Notamacropus eugenii: one gene and its partner. The protein of the gene in region 1 interacts with the protein of each later gene in a pairwise test. Links are inferred from orthologs where the notes say so. Each region holds a gene or a part of one and is shown in the gene's direction. Other genes may lie near its edges.

What was found.
Region 2: the proteins of RAB11FIP2 (region 1) and RAB11B interact in binary tests that used the Homo sapiens proteins (3 or more experiments, as listed by UniProt). The link is inferred for Notamacropus eugenii from reciprocal best matches to the Homo sapiens genes RAB11FIP2 and RAB11B.

What each region holds. Positions count from the first base shown.
Region 1 is NC_092872.1:197,810,159-197,817,626, reverse strand, and holds the start of RAB11FIP2 (rab11 family-interacting protein 2), read left to right. Parts: upstream 1-3,411; 5' UTR 3,412-5,711; coding exon 5,712-6,064; intron 6,065-7,468. UniProt on the Homo sapiens protein: A Rab11 effector binding preferentially phosphatidylinositol 3,4,5-trisphosphate (PtdInsP3) and phosphatidic acid (PA) and acting in the regulation of the transport of vesicles from the endosomal recycling compartment (ERC) to the plasma membrane.
Region 2 is NC_092875.1:52,175,049-52,182,516, reverse strand, and holds the start of RAB11B (ras-related protein Rab-11B), read left to right. Parts: upstream 1-3,006; 5' UTR 3,007-3,172; coding exon 3,173-3,212; intron 3,213-7,468. UniProt on the Homo sapiens protein: The small GTPases Rab are key regulators of intracellular membrane trafficking, from the formation of transport vesicles to their fusion with membranes.

The sequences.
Region 1 (7,468 bases):
AAGGTGGTAGAGTAACATTATGCAATATGAAGATATGCTTATGTAAGAAAAAACCAGGACTGTGATGGGGAAACACAGTGAAAAAGCATTTTGGTGAAGATCAACAGTGGGAGTAAAGAGTTAAAGGAGTATATACCAGACCACCTAAAAACGAGGAATTAGATAGGAAGTTGTACCAATTTTCAAAAAAAGTAAGAAAAATTCCGCAAAGTATAATCTTTGAAATTGGCTTTTATACCTGGCAAAATTGTAGAATTTTTTATTTAAACGGATGGTGTGTAAGCATTTAAAAAAGGAAATGGTGAGTCAGTATGACATAAATAAGAACAGGTAATACCTGAAGAAATATATCTTCCTTTTTGACAAGGTATCTACATTAATAAATCAAAAGAATGCTACAAATTTAGTATCTTTATATTTAACAAAAAATTTAGGAATGTCTTCTATATTATCCTTGACAAGATAAATATTGGCTAGATATTAGTACAGTCAGATTGAATGACCAGTCTCAAAAAATAGTTATTAATGAGCTACTATGGCTTCAGAGGAAGATATCTTGGAGTATGCTCAAAGAGTCTTTTCTTGGCTCTTGTCTGGTCAATATTTTGAAAAAAAAATCAGTGACACAGAATGGTTTTCAATTTTTCATGTGTCCTCGAGTATGGAAGAATAACTAACATAATGAATTGCAGTCAGGAAACCTAGCCCAAATTCTGCCTCAGGCATTTGCTAACTGTGTGATAATGGTTTTTTAACTTCTTAGAATCTATTTCTTCTTCTGTAAAATGAGACTAATAAGATACGCATTGCCTATCCCCATCCATCCTTCAGTTATCAGAACCATCAGAAAGGGGTTTTATGCAAATACAAAATATTCAATGCAGCTGAGGATGAATTTTAGCCATTGGAGTAATGTCTCTACCTTTCTTTCCCTTATTAAACAGGGTTCATTGTAACTTCATGGCAAGATAGTTCTCCTTTTCCTTAGACAGAAAGACCCTGGCAATTTTCTCAACCTAGTATCCACCCTTTATCCAATTTCTTTCAAGGGGCCAAAGTCTCAAGGTAATGACAAAGGCTACATTTTTTTCAAGCAATCCTTCTTGGGCCTAAACCAGATTTTGCCTATACCTGGGTACTGAAGCCAGTCCTTCCTACATAGCTTAATCATCAGGAAGAATTTTTTTCATACTCTTCGTTCCACTCAAATTGGATTTTCCTATGGTCTCCTCCCTTTACATTCCCTCTGTGTTATTCCCTGTTGGGGAGATCCTTTCTCCTATCTCAGTCTGCCAATGTTCAAGCCATTCTTCAAGGCAGAAGCTTAGATACTACTACCTTCATGAAGCTCTTTCCTGAACTTTCCATCAAGAAGTGATTCCTTCCTCATCTAACTTTGATAGCCAAGGAAAAGTACTTATTGAAGGCCAGCAAAAGTTGTCTTGACTTCTGTCTTGCCACTGGACTTTGATGACTCTGGAGGAGAGAACAAGGCTGGTGACTTTGTGCAACTCTGCCTCACTTAAATTCAATTCGCAAGCAAGTGAAAGCACTACCTTCCTGATGTCCTCTTCCAGAATGAAGGAGGAACAACTTTCCTAGTACTTTTTATTCTTCTTTCGTAGTTAATTGTAACATATTTATCTGTATATATGTCTAATTAGCTTTATTGGAGTGTAAGTTCCTTGAGACCAAGGAACATGCAATCTTGTCTTGTTTATCTGACACTGAGCACATTTCCTGACACAGCAGGTGTTTAATAAAAGCTGTTAATTGGCCTGCAGGGTCTAGAGTCAAGGTCTGAATCTGACAAAATGACAATTTCAAGTAGCTTTTCTTCTGGTCAATACTTGGAAAGCCTTAAAGGGAATTTAGGTGATATGGGAAAAGCACTCAGAAATTCACTCAAAGGACTGGCTGTTCTCTCACCTTTGTCATCAGCATAAAATTGTGTTCAGTTTGTTATTTATTACATTTAACAGCTTCTAACTTAGACCCTAGATATGACTATACATTATTTCAAAGATGGGTGAAGTGATATATTTGTAAACATATTTATAATAATTTTATAAAGTTTATCTAGCAGTTTGTTTCAGAAACATTTGATATTATTACTGTTCTTTATTGATGCATTATTACGATTAAAAAACACTTAACAGTTACTTGAAAGATTATTTTTTACGAATGCAACTTAGGTTTATGCAATTTTCATTAAAATAAAACTTCACAAGATGTTTTCAGATTTTAGCTATCAAACTGGTTTTTTTTTTTAAACAAATTCTACCATTGCACTGGTCTTTTTAAAAATTTCTAGGAATCAACTTCTTTATAACTGACAATTGCCCACTCTAGGACACAGATAACAGATTTGTGCTTATAATTCACATTATTGATCTTTGTATTGATTTGACTTTCCACGTGTAACCCCCAAGTTCCACCTTTGAAACAACAATATGTTGTCTTACTTGAATGCATTATATTCTCCCTCTTTTTTTAATTCATTAAGGTAAAACCTTTGGGGATGACTTAAAACGCAGTTCTTTTGTTCTGAGTTATCTTTAGTCTGGGATTATGTTGTGGGTCTCTGGTGTTTGATAACCTCAACAAACTGATTTGCCTTCTAGTCTTTAATAAGACATAGTTCCCACTATATATAAAATACCAAGAAAAGTACCGTGTGTAAGGGGTGCTAAAGAAATAGTAGATATGCCCTACACCTTTGAGGGAAATCTGTTCTCAAAATTCTTCACCTCCCAACAGCTTTGAAAGACTGGAAGATATGGGCAAGGTCCCTGGTATATAGTCTTTTATCTCTGTCGTGCTATTCCTCAAAGTAAGTACAGCATCTCTTCTTTTCCGTGATAAAAGGGATAATTTTCTCTCTCTTCAAGTATTTTCCACTAAATATACTTCACATACTTGCAAACATAAAACATTTCATGTAATTAACATGCCCCCAACTTCCCTTTGCTTCTTACAGTTCAATTCAGTTCTATAGAAGGGGCCTGTGAACATGGTGCTATTGGAAAGGAAGGAAAGGGAAGGGTCATTTAAAATTATTTTATCTGAGGACATAAAAAAGTTGTCAGATGGAGAGCCTTTGAATATTCCCTGAACATAGGAATAAAACCTTAAGCTATGAAGTTTTCAAAGTGTGAGTTAGCTAAGGACTCACAAATATTTATTGCTTATGACATCCAAACGAGATGCTCTGAGACACAAAGATATATGACACACATCTTGTAATTATGGAGCTTTCAGTCTAGTAGGGAAGAAAAAGACACTTTTGTTGTACTCAGGATTATCATTACCATACTCCCCAGCTCCCCACCTCCAAGCAACTTGGTCTCCCTCTCCCCATTAGAATGGAAGCTCCTTGAAGGGAGTGACAAAGTAGGCTGTTTCTGCTAGGTCAAGCTACTTCCAAACCCAGACTCCTACACTCCCTCTACTGAGGCCTAATCCTAAACAAAAGAAAAGCAGGCAGTCACTCATGTATGCCTAAAATCATCCCGGCCAGGTCTTATTTGTCTCTCTCTGGGTCTTCCACAATGCCCACCTTGAAATCCCATCACTAGAGAGTAGTTTAGTATGTAAGATTTAGATGTTATCTGGTCATACCTTTCTCTTACTGACTAGGAAAGTCCAGGTCTATGGAGATGAAGTAATTTCTCCAAAGTCACAGAGGTTAGTAACACAATCAGAATTTGAATCTACATCTTCTGACTCCATTTAATCCAGTTAAGATTATACAGGAAAGTTGGGAGTAAAATCCTGATAAGGTCAATATTAGACTATGAGCTTCAAGTAGATAGGCAACCAGGATTATTTGAACTTCAAGTCTTATCACCCATCCTTTTTGCCAATTTAGATCAACAAATACTTGTTGTTAGGGTGCGCATTTTGTCTTCCTGAGAGGAGGGGAAATGGGCTTGGCAATCTCTCTCTATAGGTAGTTGGTTTGATGTGGGAAGTTTGGAAATCTTTGGATTTACTTCATACATATTTGTGCTTACTTGAGCCCATGCTGTTTCATGCGGGTAGAATGTAAGTTTCTTGGAGGAAGGAATAGTTACAAAAAAATTTATTTTTGTCTTTGTATCCCACAATGCATTCTACAAAGTGAGACACTAACGTTTTCTGAGTTGAATTGTCTAATCTTTTGCTCTCCTCTGAGCCTCCAACGTTGAGAGAATCTTTCCTCGTAGATCAATCTAGTGAAAAAAAATGTGGAGGAAGACAGCATGCATTGCTTAGGAGGCTGGTGGGGAAAAACGGGTGTGCTGACTTGTATGCCTGGTACAGTTGTTGACATGCAGTTTCCCCCCAGTAGTCTGAGCTCCTTGAGAGCAGGGGCTGTTGTTTTTTTTCCTTTCTTTGAGATATCTCCAGTGCTTAGTAAAGCGTCTGACACACCGTTGGTGCTTAATAAATGCTGGTTGCCTTGACTGTAGCCCTGGTTCCACCGTAGCCAGCTCTGTGCCCTAGGTCAGGTGCTTATCTTCGGATGTCAGTTTCCTATTCAGTATCAGTGAAGGGCGGGGCTATGGGGCCCTACGGCAGCACGTGGTGTCGGAGCTGCCTCCGGGCACGGCGAACTTTGGGCCTCCGGGGGGCCTCAGTTTCCCCATCTGTACAAAAAAACCCTTCAGGCCAAATGGTCTTTTAGATCCCCTCCACTCTAGGATTCCAAAGAGAGGCTGCTTGCTTTTTCCACCTTCCCCACCTCAAAGTCATGCCTCGGGCCTGGGCGGCCTACGGATACCATGGCAACCAGGGAGGCGCTTGACCCCTGACCTCCCCGTCGCCGCGCCCTCCCCCCGTCACGTTCCAACATGGAGAAGCCCAGACCGGAAGTGTCGCCCCAGCCGCCGGCCGCTCGCCCGCCCAAGGGCGCTACCGGGCCCTGAAAAGACCCCTTAGCCCCGGCCTGTTCTCACGTCCCGCCGGCGTCCGTACCGGCCCAGCCCCTTAAGTGACCGAGAAGCGAGGGCCGCGGCTCGGCAGCCCCTGCTCCTGAGGAGAGGAGGAGGAGGAGGAGCAGCAGGCGAGAGGAGGGCAGGAGGAGGAGGAGGAGAGAGAGAAAGAGGGACAGGGGAGCCGCCCGAGCCCGAGCCTCCGGGGGTTCGTATTAGCCGGGGGCTGGGGGCCCGGGCCCGCCTGAGCGCCAGCTGGGAGCGAGGCGGGGGCGGGGGCCCGAGCAGGTGCGGCGGGCGGGGGCGGCCCTGGCCCGAGGAGGGAGACCTAGCCCCGGGAGCCCCACGGCGAGCTCCCCTTCCCCGCCGCGCCCCGCCCCGCCCCTCCGGGCGCCAGGTGCCCCGAGCGGGCCTCCCCTGCTCCCGAGGCCGGGCCGATAGGGAGCCCCGACTACCCCCCAAAACCTGATCCCTCCCAGCTTCGTGGGGGGGGGGTAGCCGAGGGGCGAGCGGCGGACCCCGGGCCGGCCCGGGGATGCCAGCCCCTGGCCAGGCCCCAGAGGCGGCGGCGGCGGCGGGCGGGGGCCTGGGGGGCAGCCGCTTCGTCGGACCCCGAGGCACGCGGGCTATTTTTTTCGGACAGGAAGTAAATAGAAATCGGGCAACTTGGAGCTCCTCGTGAGAGCGAGTGCCCTCCTCCTCGGAGACTGAGGCTCGGGGAACTCCGGTTATTTGTACCTCTGCTCGCGTCTCCCTCCGTGCCGTCCCGGGGACCCCCCCAAAATAAAAGACAAAATGATGTTGTCCGAGCAAGCCCAGAAGTGGTTTCCCACCCACGTGCAGGTCACCGTGCTTCAAGCCAAAGATCTGAAGCCCAAAGGCAAAAGTGGCACCAATGACACGTACACCATCATCCAGCTGGGCAAGGAGAAGTACTCCACCTCCGTGGCGGAGAAGACCCTGGAGCCCGTCTGGAAGGAGGAGGCTTCCTTCGAGCTGCCCGGGCTGCTGGTGCAGGGCGGCCCCGAGAAGTGCGTCTTGCACCTGGTGGTCATGCACCGGTCTCTGGTGGGGCTGGATAAGTTCTTGGGGCAGGTGGCCATCAGCCTCAATGACGTCTTTGAGGACAAGCGGAGGAGGAAAACAGAGTAAGTCGTGCCGGGCCTTTCCTGGTCTTAAGATACTTCTCATGGTGTAAACAAAGCACTTTGTGTTGGAGGGGGTGAAGTGTGACCCCCCCCCCCAGTCACGTGAATGAAGGCCTTGGAGGCTCCGTTCTGTCATTTCGGTTACACTTTAAAATGAGCATTCATTACGAGTCTTTGGTTTTGGTAATGACTTTCAATACAGGAAGTTGTTTGGGCTGTGGTTAAGGTGACTTGTGAGAAGCAGTCACTTTTAAGCTTTTAAAGCTAGGTAAGTATGTAATGATAATGTTGAAAATTGGTCAGTGAAAGAAATGGGGTAGTTAGAAAGGTTAGTGGCCTCTGGAAAAATATATCAAGCACGTGTTTATAATGTTAAATATTATAATTATTGTGTTATATTATGTATAAAATATACTAATATTTAACATTAACTTTATCAAGCACGTTAGTGCAGTGTTTATAATGTTAAATATTATAATTATTATGTTATATTATTATGTGTAAAATATAATGCTAATATTTAACATTAACTTTATCAAGCACGTTAGTGCAGTGTTTATAATATTAAATATAATTATTATGTTATATATAAAATATTCTAATAGTTAACATTAACTTTTATCAAGCACATTAGTGCAGTGTTTATATTAATTATTAATTTAATTATGTTATAACATATGTATAAGATATAATATTATTAATATTAAATATATCAAGGACATCACTGCAGTGTTTTTAATAATTACAGTTAAATTTAGAAAGCTTGGAACTTCTTATTCACATTTTGGGATTACATGCACAATAGGTCTTCATTATTTCTCTTTCAACTGTTGCTCCTTCTCAAGACAACTTACTTGGTATGTTTTAAAGCATTTGGAAGTCTAGAATTTCCACTTTACAAACTTGTCTCATTTCTGACCTTGACTGTTTTAACAACTTTTCTTTTATATTTTCATTCTATCCATGCCAGCATATTACTTGAAAATGACTTCCACAAAGCTAATGTACTTGGACCATATTAAGTGCTTCAAGATTAGAAGTACTGATTCAGTTTTTATGATGAAGCAGCTTAATAACATCTTCATTGGAAACAGGGCCTTCTTAATATGGGTATTGAGTCATGAAACCTGTTTTTAAAATTAACAATAAGAAGATCAGTCAAAACCCCAACACAAAATAACAAAATGAAGCAAAGTCCTTCCAGAAGTAGGCAGTTACTTCCTAATGCAACTTTTTACCTAAGTATAAGTAAATAGTCAGTGTTACCTTCAGGAAAGAAGTTCAGGTTGAATTACAGGTCTGCAAACTTGGAAAAATGTTTTGAGAGTGAGTAATTCCCTCATAACCACAGTCAGATTTCCTTTTTAAAAAGTCATTTGACTGGTGTGAATTTACCTAATGACA
Region 2 (7,468 bases), on another chromosome or scaffold:
AAAGACTCAACATAAATGCAAAAAGAGAACTTTCTCACCCTCTCTTTTCCCAGCACCCATGGTGACAATAGTCTCCCTGGACATATGCTTGGGCCAGGGTCAGGACTGAAAAAGGTACTTCACCGAGAGAGGAATAAGAGAGGATCCAGGCCCAGCCTTGGAATCTAGCCCTTCCATCTTGAAGAGACAGTGTTTACTCATTTCTTGCCCTTCTTTAATCTGTTGCCCTCTTAAGGGTAAACCTATGGTACCAACATACTAATAGGCAAGGGCTTTCCCTCTCCCCATCCACCCTGTTACACAGAAGAGTTTTATAAGCACAAGTGAATGGGAGGGGCTGGGTTGCCTAACCCTGGGGACTAGAGGGGAAGAAGCCCAGCTTCTGGGCTCATGACTGACTAGGAGTCTTGCCTAGCTGTCTTCAGTCATATTGACTGGACTAGGATCACAGGACCAAGAACTGGGGGATCTAGAATGGTGACCTACCTCAGAGCATCGCTATTTTGAAGCCCTGCCCTGGGGTCTTATGAGGGGTCAGGGTAATTTGTAAATAATTGCCTTGTAAAAAAATTCACTATCTTTTGGGTTTTAGAGTCTGGCTGGGATTACCAGGCCTCCTCAGATTTGTTTGTAATAAAAGGAATGAAAGAATCTCAAGATTGGAAGGGTCATCAATTCATCCAGTCCAAACAGGAATCACTAATGTGATCTCCAGAAGCATTCACTTGCAGATGTTTAGGGATGAAGAATTCACCACTTCATCCCTAAAAGGCCTGTTTTTGCACAGCTCTGCTAGTGAGGAGGTTCTTTACATCAAGGTGAAATTTGCCTCCTATGGAAGGCCATGCAGAACACTGTTTTCTACATCATGGTGTTTCAAGTTATGTCTTTCCTCTTTACACAACCCCACCCACCCAAATGTTCTCCAGTCAAAATATCCCCAGATCCTTCAACCAGTCCTCGTATAGCTTGACTTGGAGGCCATTTGTCTCACTGTATTCTTTGAATGCATTTAAGTTTTTAAGAAATCAATCAACCGGCCTTGATTAATATGTTCTTGGCACTGTGCTTTATGTGTGAATATTCACTATATTATGCAAGTCAACAACTGAAAGAGAAACAGGGAAGGAAAAGATAACCCATGTTAACCAGGATTAAGTGAGCTATAGTCCCCTCAGTCTCAGAAAACATCATAAGGGAAGGTCAGCCTGTTCTCCCTGCACCCATTCCTCCTTACTACCATCTTACATATTTGTCTGGAGACCCTGCTGTTAACCACTTCAGACTCACTGTTTTAAAGAATGTAGGTCTTGCTTCCTTTTTAACCTCCTTCATGGTGTACTAATCTACCTAAAGACTTGGGACCTAGGCTCTCACCCAAACAGACGGTATAGGCAGTGACTAGGCTTACCTGGGAGGCTACTGCTTATCTGATTCCTCTTTTTGTGGTTTTCGAGAGGTAGGAGACAATAAAATTTTAGGCAAGCTTTTTGAAAGATGCTTTGCAAATATCTCATTTTTGTTCTTGTGAGAACCCTGGAAGGTAGGGACTATTATCTCTAGTTTATAAAAGAAAACTGAGGCAGGCAGACTAAATGACTTGCCCAGAAACACACAACTCATCGGTGTCAGGCTATATTAGAACTCAGGTCTTCCATACTCCAGGTCTAGCTCTCTATGCACTGAACAACCTGTCTGCCCATGCCAGGTTTGAGTGGAGCCTGTCTGTATTAATGGCAAATGGTGACCAGGCAGTTCTCTGCAGTAGCAGCATGATTGTTTTAGGTTTCATTTTTTTTTTTTTTAATAATAACAGGGTCAGAGACTTAATGAAGTTGGACAGGACCTTTGCAGTCCAAACCCTCATTTTACAGATGAAGAAACTGAGGCCCAGAGAGGAAGAGGACAAGTGGCTTGCTGGAGGGTACACAGATAATATATGACTGAGGCAGGTCGTCTGACTTCAATTCTACTCCTTTCATCACTGCCACGCTTCCTCTGTCATCTAATTTGTATTATGGTTGTACCATGTGTGGACTTGATCTCTATCTCACTGAGACACCTCTCTGCCCCACCAGATTCTTAACCAGGTTATGCCTGCTACTGAGGGCAACCTAATATACTTGGCAGATATGTCTCTTGAGATCAAGGGGGCATGACTGGGCAAGACAGTGGCTAGGGGCTGGATGACCAGTGGGTCTGAGATGGGGTCAGATTGGGGTGGACAGGCAATTAGGTGAGGTGGCAGTGAGCAGTGGGGTGCTGGTGAATGTGAGAGGTGGTAGTCAGTGGGGGAGTGACCAGGCAAGGATAGATGATGGTCAGCTTCGGAGTGCTGGGTGATTTGTAGGTAGGGTGTCTGGGGTGATGAGTGGGCTTCTGGGATGGTGCGATGGGGTGGGGTGACCCTTGGGTCTCCGGGGTGACGTTCAGCAGCGGGGTGACCTTCGGCAGTGAAGTGATGCGGTGGTCTAGGAGGGGGTCATCGGGGGGCTAGTGAGACTCGGGGGTGGCGGGCAGTAGGAGGGTCTCCGAGGGGGTGCTGAGCAGTGGAGGGATGGGTGGTCAGCGGCACGGTAGCCACAGAGCCTCGGAGGTGGTGGTCTGCAACTGGGGCACCCGTCAGTTCAGTCCTTTTTGTTTCCCTGAATTAATGACGCCAAAGTACTCTAGAGGAAGGAGCTGTGCCGCGCGCGTGACGTCACGGCAACGTTACTCCCTTTTCAGTCCTCAGGCCTAATAGGTCATTTCCTTTTTCAGGCTCCGCCCCTTCCAATCCCAGCCCTTCCCCGTGGCCTACGCCCCTTTCCTCCCGTAAACTTTTCTCTCTCTGCCTTTCATTGGCTTAGCGGAACATCAATTTCCTTCTGTTTCTCGACTCTGCCTCCCGTCTCTTGTGTCCGTCTCCTATAGGTTAATATCACTGTCACTTCAGGAAGCCCCTCCCCTCCCCTTCCGTCGGTTTCAGGCCCGCGGTAGGTGGAAGCAGTGGGTTGGTCCCACACTGGTCGCTAGTTCTGATAGGGTAACCACGGTGTCAGTCGCGCCCCCGCCCCGCGGCCGATAGGCCGGTGGAACTGTCGTTCGGCGGCCGGTCGGGCTCCGCCCCCCAGTCGGGTGTTTGTGGTGGGGCTGCGGAGACGGGCCCGATCCCGCCGGAAGAGCCGAGACAATGGGGACCCGGGACGACGAGTACGACTACCTGTTCAAAGGTGCCCGGCGCTGAGGCGGGGAGGGCTGAGTGAGAGAGCGGACCCTTCGGGGAGTGCGGCCCCCTCCCTGCTGGCGGCCTCAGTCCCGGCGTCGCGCTCCGCCGGGCTGGAAAGGGACCTCCGCGGGCCCTAGCGGGGGCGTCGGAACCGGAGCCGAGGCCTGGACCGGGGGCGAGGACGAAGGGGAGCTGACACGGGGTGTCGGGCCCGGAGAGGGTGTCGGGCCCGGAGGGGGCGGCTGCACAGAGCCGTCGGTGTTACTGAACAAGGGGGTTGCGGGGCCCTGGCTAGAAGGTGGGGGAGGGGTAGGTTGCACTTAGTGGGGAGGGGGTTGGTGACTGCTGAAAGGGGGAGGGGGGCCGGGCGCGGTAGGTACTGACAGCTGGCTGGGAACCGTAGTGATGGTCCTGGAACTCGGGAGGGAGCCCGGGAAGAAAGGGGGCGGGGACCTAGGAGCAGAAAATAGTGTGGGTCGGGGTCGCCCGGGTTGGAGGGATCCTAGGACTCGAGGAGGAGGAAGAAGGAAAGAAGACCAGGGGGTAGAGAAAAGCTGCGCGAGATGTTCAGGAAGGCGACTCTGGGGAGCTGGCTGGGAAGACACCCCGGAGACTAGGCAGGGGCTCGAGCCGGGCACCTCTCGTTGACTTGACTCCAGCCTGGCTGCCGAGGCCAGTTAAGCCCCTGCGAGGTGAAAGACACTGTGCTAAGCGCTGGGGAGACCGAGGAGGAAAAACAAATGGGTTGGGGTCACTGGACAAGATTCTTAAGACCGCCGAAAGGAGAAAGGGAGTCGGGAGGAGATACTGGGGAGCAGGACCAGGAGGGAAGGCAATAGAGGATATCTTGGAAGGAAAATGGGGGGAGGGGGAGAAAAATTAGAGAATGGAGAGAGACAGGGAGCTTGCAGAGAGGAAGGGAGGGAGATGGGGAAAGTGTAGTAGAGATTTGAATGGAGTATGGAGAGAAAAGAGGAGTGAAGATTGAGGCCAGGCAGGTTGAATGCAGGAGGAACTCATTTAAGAGGAGTGATTGTGTCAGATATGGGAAAGGCAGAGAGAACTAAGGTTCACAGGATGGAAAGAGAGCATTAGGACTGAGGATAAAAGATATGTGGAGTGATTTATGTAGGGGGAGCTTGTAATGGGACTTAGCCGGTGTTGCTATACAGGACTTTACTCCTGGAGAGGGATGTCTGAGCAGCCTTGTACTCTAGATAAAAGACAAACTTCTCTGAGGCAAAAGAATCCAGGGCATTAGAGTGGGGGATCCCTAGATTAACTGGGATCCTTCCCTCACTACCTTTACTTCTCAGACATACTCAGAACTCCTTGACCTGGAGATGAGGTGCTGATTCTGACTGATCTGACTGATCAGGAATTGGGCAAGCTTTCTTTTCTGAAGCCAGAGGGCTAGGCATTAGACCTTCTAAAATTCTTACCATTGAGTAGCCAACAGGCTAGCCTGGAAGTGCCCAAGGGTTCCAGCAAAGAGGTACTAGGTAGACATGAAAAATGTCTATTTTTCTTATCCCTGGGTCTGGTACCTTGGACTGTTGGCTCTTCAAAATACTTGTTCCTTGGTTTTTCTTTCATCTGAGACTCTTTAAGTTAAATCAAGGATGTGATCTCTTTTTCTTCTTGTGCCTAGGACTGGCTGACCGCTATATTAGTGTATTCCAAGTCCTTGTTCACTGTGCTCTGTCTGAACTACAAATCCTCCTGGCCTCTGCTCCTCTGCTTTAGTTATATCTCCTCTGCTGTCCACCTCATCATCACTCTATTTTTCCAACACACTCTTATTACTAAAACTCCTAGAGACCCCAAATGGAAAGGGCTCATTTTTCACAGCTGACCTAAGAAGCACTGCTCAGGAAATCCTTCTGTCTCATAGTACTGAAATGTCAGTTACTTAAATATTTATTTTCTAAAGACATTTATTTATAAGAATCTCTTAATCTATACATGCCTGAGTTCAAATATAACATTTTAGAAAAGAAATTAATCTTGAGTCCCCCCAAATTTTCTCAGTTACAATGATTTAAAAATAAGTTTGTAAAAAGAATTTGATCACACACTTTTAGACTCCTGTATAATAGTAAATGAGATCCTCAATATGTGTTTCCATGCATTTAGTATACAGGATGTCCAAAAGTATTAGGCTTTGCTAGTTTAAAATTGCACTAAGACTTTTGAAACACCCTGTATGTGAGCTGCTACAAAACAAGCCCTGCTCTGCTCAGCACTGATTTCAGGTACCTGGTGTTTATTTGAGCCCGTGCCCAAAGATTGCTGTCTCCTGAGTTATAGGGTTTACACTTCCACTGCCTTCAGCCTTCCTTCTGTGTGTCCTTTGGCTTTCATGGATCCCAGTTATTCAAGTCTTCTGCCCTCTTCCACCCAAAAGGAGTATGTTCATTATGTCACGAACAGTTGTCAGAGATGAAAAGTAATGTAGTATACCTTTTAGTCAACAAAGTAGCCTAACAAGCATATTTTAAGCACTTACTATGTTCCTGGCTCTAAAGGATACAAAGAAAGGCTAAAGCAGCTCCTGCCGTTGAGGGTATTTTAATGTGGGAGACAACATGTGTATAACAGAGGCATGTTCAATATATCTGCATGGTAGATGGTAGGTAATGTGAGATGGGAAGACAGCTAAGGGAACCAGGAAAGGTCTGCAGAAGGTGGCAGGGTTTGAGCCGAATATTGGAGGAAGCCCTGGAAACTAAGAGGCCGAAGGGGGAGAACAGAGCATTACAGGCATGGCTGCTAGCCAGTAGAAAAGGACAGGGAGTCATATTTGATTAAGTGCAAATAGGCTAGTGTAGCTGGATTTTAGGATGCTTGGAGGAGAGTAAAGTATAAGAAGATAGCACTTATACCAGGTTGTGAACAAATATAAATGCCAAGCAGAGGACTTTATAACCTTTGTAGCTGAGTGGAGGATATATTAGAGTGGGGAGGAACTTGAGGTAAAGGGACCAGATAGAAGGCTGTTGGAATAGTCCAGGTGAGAGATGATAAAGACTTGAAATAGGGTTGTGACTGTGTAAGTAAAGAAGGGAGCAGATAGGGAAGACATTGTAAAGGTAGTAATGAGAAGCTTTGGCAGTGGAGCAGATGTGGGGGCAATCGAAGGATGACCATGAGGGTTTGAGCTGGGCTGCTAGGGAGTGGGGTGGAGAGTTGGGCCTGGGCTCTTCAGGGCACCAAGCAGGAGAAGCAAAATGGAGATAGCTCTGAAGTTCAAATCTCAATGAGAGGGGCAGTGATGGTTTGGATGTCATTAAACATCTTCCCTTTGTGCTTCAAAAATAGATCTATTTGCATTTTTCTTAAGTGTGCTGTGGAAAGCAGTGGAATAAAAGGTTAGGGTTAAACTCTTGGGTGTGAGAGTTGTCTGGCAAGTTATTTAACCTTTGAGCCTAAATTTCCCCAACTGTAAAATAGGCATAATAACATTTAGACTATTTGGCATGGTTATTACAAGGATCAAAGGAGATTATAAAAGCCTCTTAAATGATATACAAATTGACTTTTTTTTTAAACTAGATTAGAAAACAACAATATGACAGAAATCATCTTTTGATAGCATATCTGGAAATGAAAAACAAGTTGGTGTTGTTTTTTTTAAGTTCTTGACAGGCGAGAGCAGGTAAGGTGGGGATATTACCAGAAGAAGTCCAGACCATCTCTCTTGTTACCTTGTACATAGAGTCTCCTCTTGGTCAGGTGCTACTCGGTTATAGTTTTTCTGAATTATCTGACTTTGTTTTTCTTCTGTTGTGTAGTCTCACTACTCTTTAAATGAAGGGCAGCTAGGTGGTGCAGTGGATAGAGCACCAGTGCAGGAGTCTGGAGGACCTGAGTTCAAATTTCACTTCAGACACTTGACACTCACTAGCTGTGTGACCTTGGGCAAGTCACTTAACCCCAATGGCCTCATCCTGGGTCATCTCCAGTCATCCTGATGAATATCTGGCCACTAGATTCAGATGGCTCTGGAGAAGTGAGGCTGGTGACCTGCACAGCCCTCCCTCACTCAAAACAAAGTCAAGTGCAAGTCATGTCATTATTTCTCTGATGGCATGGTCTTCTTCAGCAACGAAGGACGAACACACACACACTCTCACACTCTTTTCATGGCTGGATTTCAGTTAAAAGTCAAATCTGATTTTTTAGATTAAAATTATGGGAAATTAAAATGAGTGGAAAGTCTGTGGCAATCTATGCATACTTGTTACAAGGTTTTTATTT